2 linked regions of the Bombyx mori genome follow. The protein of the gene in region 1 purifies or fractionates together with the protein of each later gene. This does not show direct contact. Links are inferred from orthologs where the notes say so. Each region holds a gene or a part of one and is shown in the gene's direction. Other genes may lie near its edges.

Region 1 (8,413 bases):
TACCATTGGACTTCGGTATCATCAATGCAGGAGAGCACCAGGCGGATTCGCACTCTTCAATGATGTCATCTGCCAGCATCTTCTCTATTTCATTCTTCATCGTCTCCTTCTTGGAAGGGTTAAGGCGATAGGGCGGCACAGCTATCGGGGGGTGATCTCCGGTGTCTATGCAATGTTCTATGAATGGTGTCGGACCTCCCCCTGCTGTAAAAATACTTTCATGCCGAATAAGGAACTCGGATAATGCTTGGCGCTCAGCTGATTGCAAGTGCATACCTTCATCATCCCGAAGCATGTTAGTAGAAGCTATGCACACACCACGAGACATAGGTTCAAAAAGTAATTTATAATGCACCTTAGCATCAGTACTAAAATACCATTCATGACGATGAAAATCAATAATAACTTTGGCAGCATTAATAAAATCAATACCCAGTAAAGTTTCATTATCATTAGAATCAGGGAAGATTATAAATGGAATATCAATCACTATGTGTTCTAACCTCACTGGTAATATGGTTGTCAATACATTCATATTCCGAACATGCCCATCAGCAAGTTTGACTCGCCTAGTGGAGGGAGTAAGAGGGTGACCCTTTTGCAGAAGGAGAGCATACAGCGTGTGACCAGCAATACAATGCTTAGCTGTGTATCTATAAGTGCAGTACCCTGTTTACCGAGAACTTGAATTTTGAAAATAGGCCGTAAATGCAAATACCTATCATCACTCTCACGGTCGTACACGGACGCTACAACACTTCCCTCACATGTACAATAATTAAAATTCAAACAATTATCAATTTCCACACATTCGTTAATTTTTCCAAAATTACACTTACTGCCTTTTGTGTCACAGTCATGGTTAGTTGAAAATTTTAAATTATTACAATTTGGTTCAATTATTTGATTATAAGGTAAAATTGAGTTCTTACATTTAGGTCTAGTTCCCTGGTTATAACAAATATTTAAATTTTTACACTTTGTCCGAACATCCTGATTATATAAAACATGAGAATCACAAAAGGTTGGCATCTCATTATTACTAGTGCAATTACAGTTAATATTCTTTGACACAGAATCATTACAGGCATGAAAATAAGATTTTCTGGAAGTAGGGCCTCTGTTAATGGTAGCATAATTAATATTTGCATCCCGGTTACAAAAATTTTGACATTCAAAATTACTCAGAAAATTATTTTTGTCATGCTGCTTAACATCATACATTGCATTCTGAACAGGTAAATTAGAACTAATTGTGTTAGTATTATTAACATTACACTGAACACTATAAAACGCATTATTGTCATTTTGCACACCCTCGGAAAAGTTAGATTGACTTTGCTCACCTCGGTTGTTTAACTTACGGCACTGTTCCCGTGCATGTCCAAACCGTTTGCAGTAGGAGCACACTGGACGCTGTTTCTTCGTGGTCACGAATTGCTCTGCAGAACCTGGCACAGCAGCGGCAGGCGTGGCAGCGGCAGGCTGGGCGACAGCGACAGGCACAGCGGTGGCGGGCACGACGGCCGCGGCGGAGTTTGGAAAGCGCGCGCGCGGCGCCGGGGCACTCGCACGAGCGGCGCACGGTTCAGGCCGACTCGCAGCCTGGGCCGGCTGGGCACGGATCGAACGCACACCACTAGTGGACGACACTGGTCTCGATTGAGTCTCCTCTATCGAATCTTCTATATTCCGAGCATGGTTTAATAATGAATTGAAAGATGTGATTTGTTCACGGCGCAATCTTGTGCGTATTCTATTATGAAGCAACCCGTATATCATATCAAGTTGTACTTTTTCAGTAATATCATCCCGCGGTAGCTTTGCCATAAGCGTACGAATACGAGCAACAAACTTGTCTGTGTTTTCGTTATCCTGCGGGGAAGCAAATATTTCCAAATATATTCTATGTGGTGGAAGGCGGGTGCCATATGCATATATTAAATTTTCTTTGGCTTCGTTCCAAGTGGAGATGTGATGCTTTAATCCTAGCCACCACGTAGCTGCGTCAGCAGACAAAAGCATGGCTAGGCCTCGTATGATGTTAGCGTCAGATACTTGAACGCATTCTGTATAACTTTCAATTGCATCTATAAAGGCCTCAACAGATTCACCAGGTGCACCGCTGAAAGAAGCTCTGCAACGCGCCAAGGTACCATCTACGTTCACTGGGGGCATCGGCGGAGGTGCCGGAGTCGACGATCTTTGTTCCATCACGTACGACATAATGTTCTTAAATGTTTCGGCCTGCGAACGTTGCAGCGAGGCCATCAACGCTGAAACATCATCCAGGTTGAACGTAGAATTGTTGCTACGTGATTCGGCGTGGGGGCGATCATGGGGGCTATCATGCTCCTCGTGATTTTCGTTGGCATTTGCATCTGCAGCAGGAATAACGTCGTCTTCGCGACGTTGCTGGCGATCTTGATTTCTAGTTAAAGGCATTCTTTACAATTAAGCACCAACAGCATACAATAGTTAGCAAATTTTTCACAAAAGCGTGCGCGCCATTTTGTTAGTCCAAGCAAGAAAAAAATTAGGAAACGTTGGGCAGCCAGATATAGTGAGGGGTAGATCTCAGGGGTATTTAAAACTATGGGTTAGTCACCAATATCGACTTTCGAATTTTAATCTTCCTTTATCACAAACAATTTCAATTTTACACAATAATTACATTTAGACGCGGGCGCACGCTATTCACACTCAAAACGGAAGTGCCCGGAACATAGATTATACACTGTTGAAAAGATTGACATAGATGCTAACTATGTATAGCGAGCGGGCATACGGCCGCGAGAGTGACGTACCGGTCGGTTTGCTACAAATTTTATTTTATTTTATTTTATTTATTTAATAAGTTGCACCAACAAAGTGATCATCAATACAAAACATTGACAAATTGACAAAAGTTCATGGCAGATGTCACCTCAATTATAGGTGCAATCGACATTGCATTAACATCAAAAATAAAAATAAAATATACAGCTAAGAATTGGATACATTTCATTCATTGCTTAAGATTAATTTAATTGGGAGATGATCCGCGACAGATTTTTCCTGTAAGTAGTGAGACAATTTGAAAAAACATCTATTTCACTTAAAATAAGTTCAGCGCAATCGGACAACTCCGAAGGAACATTGACGGAGACCGCGCTACCGTGGACATTATTGTAGTCCCAAAGGATTCTGTTTAAGGGAGAGTAAGCACCTAAATTCGAACGAGCGGGCTTTCTTATAAACGGTTTATATTTCTTCGTTCTTGGTAGGTACTTAGGGATAATATATAATATATACATATCCCAGCAAATTTCACCTTTGCTGGCTGAAAGGAAGAAATTTGCTTTTTATCCCTACGCCAAATAAAAAAAAACACATCTGTCACTGATGACGTTTAACTGCTATTTTGACGTATTTATTTTGTCATATCACTGCCTACCTGAAGAATTAAAAATTAATAATTTGGGAAATCCTCATTCGTTTTCCGTATATTAATTGTTTCTTTGTTATCAATATTTAAAATGTCTAAAGATAATACACCGGTCAAATCACCTAAATCGCCAAAAGCAATAAAAACAGTAGAAGACTTCGAAAATCAGGTAATATTTTATTACCTACGCCTTCTTTCTTTTTGTATGTTAATAATTTTATTTACGTAGGTTTGTTTTCGCAGGACACACTGTTGAAGCATGTCGATATAACTATTGTGGAGTCGGAGAAACGAGCTAATGGTACTCTACACGTCAGAGATCATTACACAGTATATCTCGTCGATTTAAAGTAAGATTCAACTATGATTGAAATTACAAATTGCACCCAAATAGGCAGTCAATTAGACCAATTTGAATAGTTTACGGGTTGAGTAACGTTATACTCGTGGAGATTGGTTGCGATGGAATTTTGATTCTCCGAATTTACGCCAACCCTTGTGTTGTGTTTTCATTAACAAAAATAAAAGCGAAATAACACAATATTACAAAAAGCTTTATCACTTTATTTTTTTACTTACTTGCTCTTTTTGTCATTTGTTTAATCAATGTTTTAATAATACAATTTGAAGAAAATTTGATTAACACGCTCAAAGAAAATAAAAGTGATTTGTGAAAAAAATAATTTTCTCCGATTTTTTTTGTATTTACGCACTTACCCACATCATCGACTGATGCCTGACTGGAAACACTTGGACTAAACTAACATCATGAATATAATAATTTTTTATTTGCAGAGTTACAGATCCTGATTACAAATTAGTACAGTCAAAAATAAGCACAATCTGGAGGAGATACACTGAATTCGAACAAATACATGATTACCTACAAGTCACATATCCACATGTTGTTATACCTCCATTACCAGAGAAAAGGGTAAGGTCATATTTAAAATATAACCAAAATATGTCATAAGTGATGAAGAAATTAAATCTCCTATGTTTTAGAAAATTTATATTAATTACTAATTATTTTTTAATAACAATTGAGTTTTTTTAAAAACACTTAATATTTTAAGAAATATGTCTTAAATTCTTTGTTAAATTGTAAATTGAAATGGATCTAAAACAACAAGACGATTTGAGAGAAATGGTGAACTCTTTGTCATGAGATTTTGTATTGCATGAATTTGGTCCACTGTTAACAGGTGTTACTACAGATTATGTAGACTATTGTGCAAGACTCAAGATTTGCAGAAAATTCCTGTCCTGGCTTTAGAAATAATTTGAAAATACACTATAGAGTTTTTTTTAATTTAAATTTATTATGAGATTATATAGATAACATCTACAAAACAAAAAAAACACAACTAACATAAAAACAAAATTAGATTAATTTATTGAACAACAATAAATAAGTGATTATTGTTTCGTAATTATCCTTTTTGTCAGAAAAAGTATTACATACAAGCAACATCTGTTTACTTATTAGCAAATAGGATCTATTGTACCTGGATATATTATTTCGATCTAGCTGCCTTTATGATACATTAGGAAAACTTATAATTTATTTTTGGAAATTTTAAAGAAAAAAAAATTATATAAAGACTAAATTTTAAAATAATTTAACATAGTCTTTAATATCAGGTGCTTTACGCGTGGCGCAAATCGGACACTACAGACCCGGAGTTTGTGGAGCGCCGTCGAGCTGGCTTAGAAAATTTCCTATTACGAGTCGCATCTCACCCTCGACTATGTTTCGATGATCAATTCATTAATTTCCTACAAGAAGAACATGGTTGGCGGGAAACTATCACCGATAGTGGTAAGTTAAAATGCAATTTCCATATTATAAATAAATCTGAACACTATTTTAATAAAAAATATTGTAATAAGTATAAAAATAGAATACAACTCTAACATATACATATTATTATGTACAGAAATATTGATATAACTTTGACTGAACTAGCTAAAAGTTTTAGTAGTAGTAGTAAAGTAACTTATACTTGAAATTTCCAAGATCCATGTTTCCAGTTTCAAGAATAGAAAAGATATACAATACAGTTGAGATACTTCAACATCATGACTCTAGTTGTTTCGACATACTCACATTGAGATATCTTTTGACTTCTTTAACCAGACTACATCCAAGTGAGCTGGGAGCTTGTTCCATCTATGCAATTAATATTGAAAAAGCCTACTTAGTAATGAACAATTCATATTATTATTTTGAATTAGTTAAAAATCAAATAGATTTGTGGAGATATTACTCAATGATAGGCAGCGGTTTTGCTGTGATCCTGAAAGATAGTAACCACTCACTATCAAGTGTACCGTCTACTCGTCTACAAGGACAATAAAAAAAGTAATTGCATGACGTTTTTCCAACAGGATATTTACTACAAGCTGAAAATAAAATAAAATCACTGTCCGTATCTATAAGGTTGAAGAAGCCCGATCCTGAGGTTGAGTCCTTCAAAAACTACGGGAAACAATTAGAAACTAATTTAGGAAACTTTTTATATACAAGGTAAATGAAACTTATAAATATAAATTAAATTTAAAGTTATATAGATTGAAATAGTAAAGATTAAAATTAAACAAGCAGCAAGATAGTAACAATGCCCTAACACTTCGATATTCAAGAAATGAATCTATAACTACAATGTAGCACTAATGCCTTACATTTTAGAAGACATCTTCAGTGAAAAAGAAGCAATGGAGTTAATTATAGAAAACAATCTTCATATTGTACATTTTAACATTTTGCAACACTAAATATGCCCTGCTATTCAACTTTATTTAACTCTAAATTGATGTTAAAATTTATGAAACATTATCGTGTTACAATAGTTGATCATGTCACTCTCTCTGGTACTGAGGCTGCTAGTCCCATGCGGTTGCCATGGCGACGCTTGCTAAATATATGCGTTTCTATTATACCTAGAATAGTATATCCACTCTGATTAAGATTTACATAAAATCCGTTCTTAGTGAGCACTTAGATCACAAAAAAGAGTTTATATCTCAAAATTTTAAGTATATAATGAGTGACTGATATTTCAATACATATATACACTTGTTAATATTATTCAATATTTTACTTGTAGGTTAGTGACGTTCATCAAAATGTTCATGTAAAACCTCTTGTGAGTCCGCACGGGTAGGTACCACCCCACCTATTTCTGCCGTGAAGCAGTAATGCATTTTGGTTGGAAGGGTGGGGCAACCGTTGTAACTATACTGAGACCTTAGAACTTATATCTTAAGGTAGATAGCGCATTTACGTTGTAAATGTCTATGGGCTCCAGTCACCACTTAACACCATGTGGGCTGTGAGCTCGTCCACCCATCTGAGCAATAAAAACTAAAATATCAAACTTACTCAAAAAACTAATCATCCCAAAATTATTTTTCAGATCCAAAATAATAGAAAAAAATTACGCTCTATGTAAACTGCACGCGAATTACGGCAAACTGTTTAGTGAATGGAGCGTCATCGAGAAGGAGATGGGAGACGGATTGCAGAAGGCCGGACATTATTTCGGTAACGACTTTAAACTCGAATTTAGTTCTATCCGTTCGCGACTCGCTTCTAAAGCTGCTTTCAGACTGTGCTATACTATAGTGTCATATAGTATACCAGCGTATACTTAGCCAATAATATACAGTACAGTACTTTTTTTCTTCTTCTTTTTATTCATACCTAAGCTGATGGTCTAGAGAGACCATGTCATGTCACTAGTCGGTGAGCTCACGGGGCTCAAACCTGACGATGTTGCTAACACTGGCCCTAGCAAGAGACGTGCCTCGCAGAATCTTCCACCGGATCGGAAACGCGATCCACTGAAAAGATCAGGCGAGAAACTCAGTAAGCTGTGTTTTTGGGTTAATTTACTCACCGAGGCCTTTGTTGCAAGCGACGGGTTCGACGAGAACGATGACCGGTGCTTGGGGTACCTAAAAGCACCGTTAATGGATCGGGAGGATCCGAGCTGACGTGTTTTGGGCGACGTCGACTCAGTACAGTATGAACGTGTCTATAACAATATATAATATATGCTATTATGCTATAGCGTAGACTGAAAGCAGCTTAAAGCGCGAAATACACACAAACGGCGTAAGGATTAAGGCGCGGCGCACGCGTGGAGCGGATACGGCACGGACGCGATTTAAATTACTAGTGTCCCCGCGGTAGTCGATTAAAGAGCTTTTCTTCCCTCGATATATACTATTGTGACATTTGCTTATTGACTGCTAAGTTAAATTGATACTAGATGATGACCGAGCTTTGCTCGTTTTTTTTTTTTATAACGCCATCTTGTTGTGTCTAAAGCAGTAAAAATAGTATTATTATTCGCCAATAGATGTCGGGAAGAGTTATAAAGTTGATTATCGATAAAGTTGATTATTGAAAACACGAATAAAACAACATTTTCTGAAAATAAATCGTAGCTAGATCGATTTATCGCCCCCGAAATCCCCTGTATACTAAATTTTATAAAAATCGTTGGAGCCGTTTCCGAGATTCAGATTATATATTTTTAGCAACGGCTTAATAATTTAAATAAATAAAAAAAATACAAAAGTAGGTAGGAACGATCGACACAGAATATTAAATCTAAGACAAGTGAACGCTGCGCGCGCTGCTAGCCAAAGTGATCCGAGGTGGCGTGATGTCCCCGCTGGTCGGTCGGTTGCCCCTCCAGATGACGTCACGAGTCCACGTGAGTGCTCGTCATCAATGGCTCCGCCCATCGACTTTGACTTAAGAAGAAGTCGCCTCTAATACGGCCTCTCCTGACTGGTGGACGTCCACGTTCACCTCGATGTCATGACCGTCTTCAATCTCTGACGATGCAGGACTCACTGTGTGCACAGCGTTTCTATCGGGGTGTTCTATGATATCGTCATAGAAATAGATTATTTGCATTACCATCATGATTTTTGTACCATGAACCATTAGTAAAAGTTAGTAGTTTTTGT
Region 2 (7,392 bases), on another chromosome or scaffold:
AGTTTGTCCAATAAGTCACAGCCGTAGGGATCCTTCACATATGGTTTCAGTCTTTCCTGTGTTTATATACAAATCTTAATTAGTATATAAGAGATGCTGGAATGAATATATACAGTATGCAGTGAAGAGAGAGCGGCATAGATGGGAAAATAAGTACACATATTGTTAAATGCCCACTGGACCAAACATCAAAATGTTCTCGACGCCCATCATGAGATATGAGATCTGAGTCTCAATAGTATTATTGCAGTGTGTGTTATGCAGTGTGCAGTGCAATAATAAACCGGCTGTTATTATGTATGTTCGTTTCTTTGCTCCTATATTCCGATATAACAATTATATAATGGCTGACAATGCTTTTGGTGGCTACGGTGATACAGAAATAAAATAACTAGTTGACAGTAGGCAAAAATACTTATTGTTTTTGTAAGAAAATATGTAATGAACTATGAAATGTTGACTTATGAGGCAGTGTGTTGAGCCTTGACCTTAAATATCATCTTGGAATGTGTGTTATCGGCCAAAGATAAAAAAAAAACTTTTTTTTTTTTCAAAAATGATTATGTCTTATTTCCACACTGCAATTGAGTACATAGGTACCCTGATTCTGACCAAACAGTCTTACTAAGCCAATAGATATAAAAATCTCAATGATTAAATTCCATATTCACCTTGACTTTCCTCTTTTGACCCTTTGGCAACTCCATTTTGTTGTAAAGATCCAAGTTCTCCACTCCGGGCCAGACATCAGGTGTACAGGAACCGCACAGCTGCGATATTAATATCAGCTGCTGCTGTTCTGTCGGACCCTGAAATATTACATTTCTAATCAAAGATCCATGGTAGACAAGAATTTTTTTTTTAACTGCTGATCTGTGGTGTATCGTCTGTCTTTCTGGAGCCTCAGCCTCTTAGTCTGTCATTTCTAAAACTATTCTATACATATTCTAAAAATAATAACATAAATATCTACAGAATATACAATTACAATAAAATTTATCAATTTGAAAAGAAATAATTCGTAGATTTTGTGACTCATTGTAAACCTTTATCTATGAACATCATTGAACCAATAAGTCTATCCAATAATACTCCATTAAATTTGGGGTTTATGGCATATAATTTGTGATCATTATAAAATTGCAAGTTTATTATTGAATAAACTCAATAGAGGGTTTGGTATTTTATGCTTTCCCATTACAAGAGCAGTGATTTTTGACTAGATAACACAAAAACTTATTACTGCATTTTTAAGCAAGGGCCCTGCATCTATTTCCTTTGACTAGATTTGCAAAAAAAACTAGATTAAACTGTAAAAGTAGTTTTAATCAGGTCGGTATCTTTGAAAAGTTTCAAACCTGCATGATCGGGGAGCGAGTCCACATTTCAGCCATGATACATCCGGCTCCCCACATGTCCACTGGTGGACCGTAGTTACGGTCACCTTTAATTAAATAAGGCATGTTAAAGCTGATACAACACACCACAGCTCATTTTTCATATATTTTTCTAAATGAGCAGACAAAGACAACTCACTATTACATGTTATTAAATGTTAGTTATAAGTTATTCAAAATCACTCCCACTATGAAAGATAACATAACACTTGTCTCCTTTAAACTAAAATGTATGACTGCTTCGATGCTTTAGATAAAAAAAAAAATGTTCTTGTAGGCAGATGAGCAGAAGGCTCATCTGATGGTGAGTGGTTGTAGCTTATGAACGTCAGCAATACTAGGAGCAAAGCCAAGCCGTTGCCTACCGTGAAGTACTCTCCACAAGCCTCGTTTGAAGAAAGACATGACGACAGACAGGCTCTCGGGAAACATCATGGAGGGGAGCTTACTTCAAGGCCTTACTACTTAGCAACAGGAGTTAGTAGAATAATGGTGCCCACTCATCCAAGCTCAATTTGTCTTATTACCAGAAATTATGGTTTACATAAAAAAACACTGTTCATTAATAAATAATATGTTTTAAAAACTCACCTAACAGCAATTCTGGAGGCCTATACCACAAAGTAACAACACGATTAGTATATTTATTGGCTTGTCCAGACTTTGCGACGCTGAATGCTCGAGCAAGTCCAAAGTCAGCCAGTTTTAATGTTCCATTCTTTGTTATTAGTACATTGGCAGCCTTCATGTCTCTGTGGAGTATTTTGTTGCTGTGTATGTAATAAAGTCCGTTCAGTAATTGTTGCATGACTTTTTTTATTTCGCCGAGACTGAACTTAACATTCACGTTCGATAGCAGGCCAGCTAGATCGTGTTCGCAGAAGTCGAACACCAAATAGAAAGTGGAACGGTATTTATTGTGAACCGTAGCCTTCGTGCGGCATATTTCTATCAAGTTTACAACGTTTTCGTGTTTTAAGAGCTGCAAGATCTTTATTTCCCGCAGGGCCGTGATCGGGAAACCCTCTTTTTCATTGTCCATTAAGACTTTTTTCATGGCAACAAACTTTTTGCTACTGTTTCTCGCGCGCGCTTTGAACACTTCACCGAATGTTCCTTGTCCGATTTTAGCTACTTTTTCGTATTTGGAAGACTCGTCGCAGAAGGGAAAGTCGAATTCCTCTATGTATTTCTCCTTTTCCCTCATGTTTAATATAGTTGAAGTTGTGCTTAAAACTGGTTGCGTGGGCTCCCGCGGAGCACTTACGCTTTGCATTTTGGACGTAATTTTGGCGGTTTTCAACGAACTTTTAGTATGAATATGATATTTTTAATTGTAGTGTAGACAAAGCTTTTAAAAAATTTCACATTAATTATGTTTTCACTTGGAAACGGCGAAATTTATTGATACCCTATCAGCAAAATCACAATAGGAAGAAGTGAAATGCAACACTGACTGAAGACTGTGACACTAATTAAAACGTCAACTGTCAATATCAATTTTTATTTTTTATTTATTGAATACGCAAAGAAAAGAGCCCAAATCAAAATGTTTTGTACCAAAGGCCAATGCCCGCCATATCTGTTGCTTAAAAAGTGAAGTAGAGTTAATTGAGGATTGGAATTAAATGAAATTAGATGTTGTTGATGGGCAGGTCCCCCTGCGCTGGTCAGACCAAATCCGTACCGCAAATACACTATCGTATTTGAGGTCATCTATAGCGTCGAGAATATATCGACGTATGGCGTAAGATAATCCACCGGAGAGATTCTGAAATCCCATAGAGGTCACGACCCACAGCATTGAAGATTTGGTCAATTGTCGGATGGCTAGAAATGAAACACACATTAAAACTTCGTAATTTAGTGGAAAAAGAAAATTTTGTAAGAACTTGAAAAGTCATACCCAGTGACTATTTCAAATATTTATGAGGTTTCGCATAGCGTTAAACGGTAAAATAGGCAGCGGTTATTACATATATTTTGGACTAAAACACTACCTATTGATCTACTCAATTTAACTTGGCTGAAGTTGTAACGAAAAAGTTAATTTAACAATAAAGTAAACATCCATGGTTTTAAATAACTTTATTAAGATGGTATGTACTGCTTTTCTTTGAATGTTATTCAGGTTACCACAATTTCTGTTAAAACAAATTAATTAATTTACAGTGTTTCTAAAATAAATGAAAATACAAAAAATCGACTAAAACGAAAGTATTGCTTGTAAGACATCTAAAATTGGTAAACTGTGAGTTTATAGGTTTTGATGTCAATGACCCTTAAACGTTGACATGAAAACGAATAAAGAGAAACGTCAATGTGTCATCGGAATTGATTTTTGTTTTTGTTACAAAAAGTTACACATTCACAACAATAGTAAAAGACGCTTCGAGGTAAATAACGCAATATTATACTAAAATTTGAATAAACTAAACATTAATTGAGTTTAATTGAGTTTAATACCTAGGCGCTTCGTGACAGAATTACTAAAGTAGGCCGACAAAAAGTGATTTCTTAAAAAAGTTTTATAAATTCTTTCTATCACTGCGTGTGCCGCTGATAAAACTATATGGACTAATACGAACACTAGTTATACGCCCATTTAAATTTACTGTAAATATATTTGAATAACTTTGGCGTATTATATTATTAATTAGAGATTAGTTATTAGATTAGTATTAGAGAAAATATTAGATTAGACTTTGATAATATTTATTATGTATATGTATTTATTGAAGTACGAGTATTTGTATCTATAAATATTATGTATGTTATATATACATATATTACTATGTTTAAGTTATATCACTATCACACTACACCTAACAAGGTTCATCTCTGCACCCTCCTAAGGTAGGTTGTCAGAGAATGCCTATGGCTTTAAGTCCGCCTTTATAAGTATATAAAGTTATAAATATATATTAATTCACGACACTCTTTCGATTTGTTACTGCCTCAAGAATAGCATCTAATTAGTACCTTCAAGTTTACGAGTTGTCTTAGAGGGTCTGTAAAGATAAACAATCTTACCTTTTTTACCATAGCTATCAAAGATGGCCTGTCTGGCATAAAACCTGGTAGTACTACTGCTGCCCAGAGGAACTAACTAGCTTTGGCAGCCATAACCACATTTCAGTTTCATAATAATAATTCATAGAATAGAATTTCAGAAACAAAACATGTAAACTAATTTAACAATTTTCCTTAATAGGACACTTATAACATCTACTAACTAGTTATTAACTATTAAATGAATTGAATTTATCCTAAATTCTGATCAATTTTCGATAGATTAAATATTAAAATTAATACTTTTATGTTTGGTGTGTAAATTATCTTGAAATATTCTTGTAATTAAATATTTAATTTTTTAATTTTTCGTGACACAAAAGTTTGTTTAAAAAATCCTTCCTTAAATAGCTGCTATACAACATTTTCGGAAATTACTGTCAAAGGCCCAGGAGATTTCTATAAATAAATCACATTCAATAAACAAATTATTATTTTTTAAATTTATTCTGATTTTCCAACAAATGATACACTGATTATGAAAATTGTTAAAAAGGTAACAAATAGTTCTTATCATTCTATACTCCCTCAATTGCAGGAAAATACATAGTAAAAATAACAATTATGCTCTAGCAGTGTAAATCACACAAAAATATAAACCGGCCAATAAAAATTAAAACAATAAAAACTTTATGGAGTTAAAAATTTTAAAATTAGCTCAAATAAAAAGAACAATATATAGATATATTATATTTCATTTGAAATCCATAGGCCTACAAAATAAATAAAAAATTGTAAAAAAAAAAACTGTTATCATTTGTTATTCAAAATAATGATGTAATGAAAATCTGAATATTCCAGACAAAATGGCCAGTGAAAGCAGTTCAGCAATGCTGGACATGACAGATGCTGACTCCGACGATATGGACATGCCGACTCTCATGGACGATCAGGAGCCATCACCGCTCATCATGGAGCACGGCTATGACATTGCAATTAAGGCAAGTACACCCAAATTGATTTTACAGTCCTGTTTTTAGCTACTTGATGGCTTATATGTTGATGCCAATACATACATTATTGCCATGATAAGTATTTCTTATTATATATACTCTTATACAGGGTGTCCCAGAAAGAATGGATAATCCTGAAACCCCTCATAGTAGAGCTATTGGGGACTCAAAATAAAACAATAAAAAAAATATTTCTTATGTAGTACCCAAATTAAAAATAAAGAAAAAATACCAAATTTCGTTCAGATTAACTTTTATAAAAAATTACACTAGCTACTCATAGGTTTTTTTTTATAGCTTTGATGCGTGGACGAGCTCACGGCCCACCTTAACTGGTTACGGGAGCCCATAGACATCTACAACATAAATGCGCCACCCACCTTGAGATTTAAGTTCTAAGGTCTCGTTATAGTTACAACGGCTGCCCCAGCCTTCAAACCGAAACGCATTACTGCTTCACGACAGAAATAGGCGGGGTGGTGGTACCTACCGGTGCGGACTCACAAGAGGTCCTACCACCGGTAAAAACTGCTGAAAAGCAGCTACAAAATTTTATTTAGAATTAGATTAGACAGCGTTTTACGGAATATGTTATGGTGTGTTGACTCGTGGCTTGGTGTTGCAGGTCGATGCCCCCATAAAACAGCTGTCGACCCTCGAGACGTATGTGACGTACCGGGTGCGTTGCGTGTGCGCGCGGTGGCCGACCCCGCCCAGCGTGAGACGACGGTACAATCACTTTAAGGTTAGCCTGATTCATGCATCCGATGTCTCAAGCTAGTGTGAAGAACTCTCATATTATGTCTCATATTTTTCAATGAGATTTGTATATATATTTTTTCCTATCTATGCTGATAGCCTTGAGAGACTATATATCAACGTTACCGGACAAGTAGATGAGCTCACGGGGCTCAAACCTGGCGAAGTTGCTAATGCTGACCCTAGCAAGAGCAGTGCTTTGCAGAATCTACCACCGGATCGGAAACGTGACCCACTAAGAAGATCCCGCGAAAAACTCAGTGGGCTGTGCCTGTGGGGTAATTTATTCGCCGAACCCTTCGTCGCAAGCGGTGGGTTTGACGAGAACGATGGTCTGTGGTGATGATGTCAGTGGATCGGGAGGATCCGTAATGACGTATTTTGGGCGACGTCGACTGTTTACCATTCGGTCTGCAGGATTGGGAATGATTTGTATAGAGATCTCAGCGCCACCTAGTAGACCTGACGAACAAGCGACGGAGCACTCACGACCACAGTCGAGGTCAGCATGCTCTGGGTAGTTCAGATCGCGTGCAGGGCGTGGCGGCTTGCAGGTGCTGCACAAGCGGCTGTCGGCGGCGCACCCCCTCACCGCGGCGCCCCCCGCGCCCCCGCTGCACTCCGCGCGCCAGCAGCTCGACAGATACTCGGCGTCGTTTGTCGCCATAAGGACCTTAGCCCTCAACGCGTTTCTAGGTGAGGAGACAATGATAAAGGATATTATAAGGATATTAAAACTATAGAGGATAGAAGTAGGGGAACACCAGCTCAGTGTTTTAAAAAGCGTCCGGTGTAAGGGAGTAAATTAGGTGGCGCCACAGGAGCAGCAAGTGGAGAGGTTAAAAAACAGCGCCATAAGCTACTACAGTTCACTTCAACCTGCGCGCACCTCTGTTTAAAACTGTTATATTCATATAATTCCCCCTTCCTACACTAGCGCTATGTCGGTGAGTGTTCCAACAACAACGCGCTGCTTACAGACGGACACTTTATCAACTTGTCCCCTATACAAGATGACGCTCATTACATTCATACTACCTGGTCTGACTGTGGTCATCCACAGTGCGTTTCCAGAAATATTTTTTGCCACGTACCGTCCGGCTTTGGAATGAGCTCCCCTCCACGATGTTTCTCGAGCGCTATGACGTGTCCTTCTTTAAACGGGGCTTGTAGTGAGTACTCAACGGTAGGCAGCGGCTTGGCTCTGCCCC

What was found.
Region 2: the proteins of sorting nexin-4 (region 1) and sorting nexin-30 purify together in Homo sapiens (co-immunoprecipitation; 4 studies listed by BioGRID and IntAct, counting the BioPlex papers as one, with this or other methods). This does not show direct contact. The link is inferred for Bombyx mori from reciprocal best matches to the Homo sapiens genes SNX4 and SNX30.

The regions. Positions count from the first base shown.
Region 1 is NC_085115.1:12,909,589-12,918,001, reverse strand, and holds the start of sorting nexin-4, read left to right. Parts: upstream 1-3,377; 5' UTR 3,378-3,518; coding exon 3,519-3,596; intron 3,597-3,670; coding exon 3,671-3,777; intron 3,778-4,222; coding exon 4,223-4,361; intron 4,362-5,071; coding exon 5,072-5,249; intron 5,250-5,818; coding exon 5,819-5,957; intron 5,958-6,846; coding exon 6,847-6,974; intron 6,975-8,413. UniProt on the Homo sapiens protein: Involved in the regulation of endocytosis and in several stages of intracellular trafficking. Plays a role in recycling endocytosed transferrin receptor and prevent its degradation.
Region 2 is NC_085130.1:9,747,658-9,755,049, reverse strand, and holds the start of sorting nexin-30, read left to right. Parts: upstream 1-3,668; 5' UTR 3,669-3,793; intron 3,794-5,270; 5' UTR 5,271-5,275; coding exon 5,276-5,410; intron 5,411-6,047; coding exon 6,048-6,167; intron 6,168-6,735; coding exon 6,736-6,877; intron 6,878-7,392. Other genes in the region: Cdk9 (cyclin dependent kinase 9), read right to left, coding at 1-56, 672-809, 1,359-1,444, 1,989-2,673. UniProt on the Homo sapiens protein: Involved in the regulation of endocytosis and in several stages of intracellular trafficking. Together with SNX4, involved in autophagosome assembly.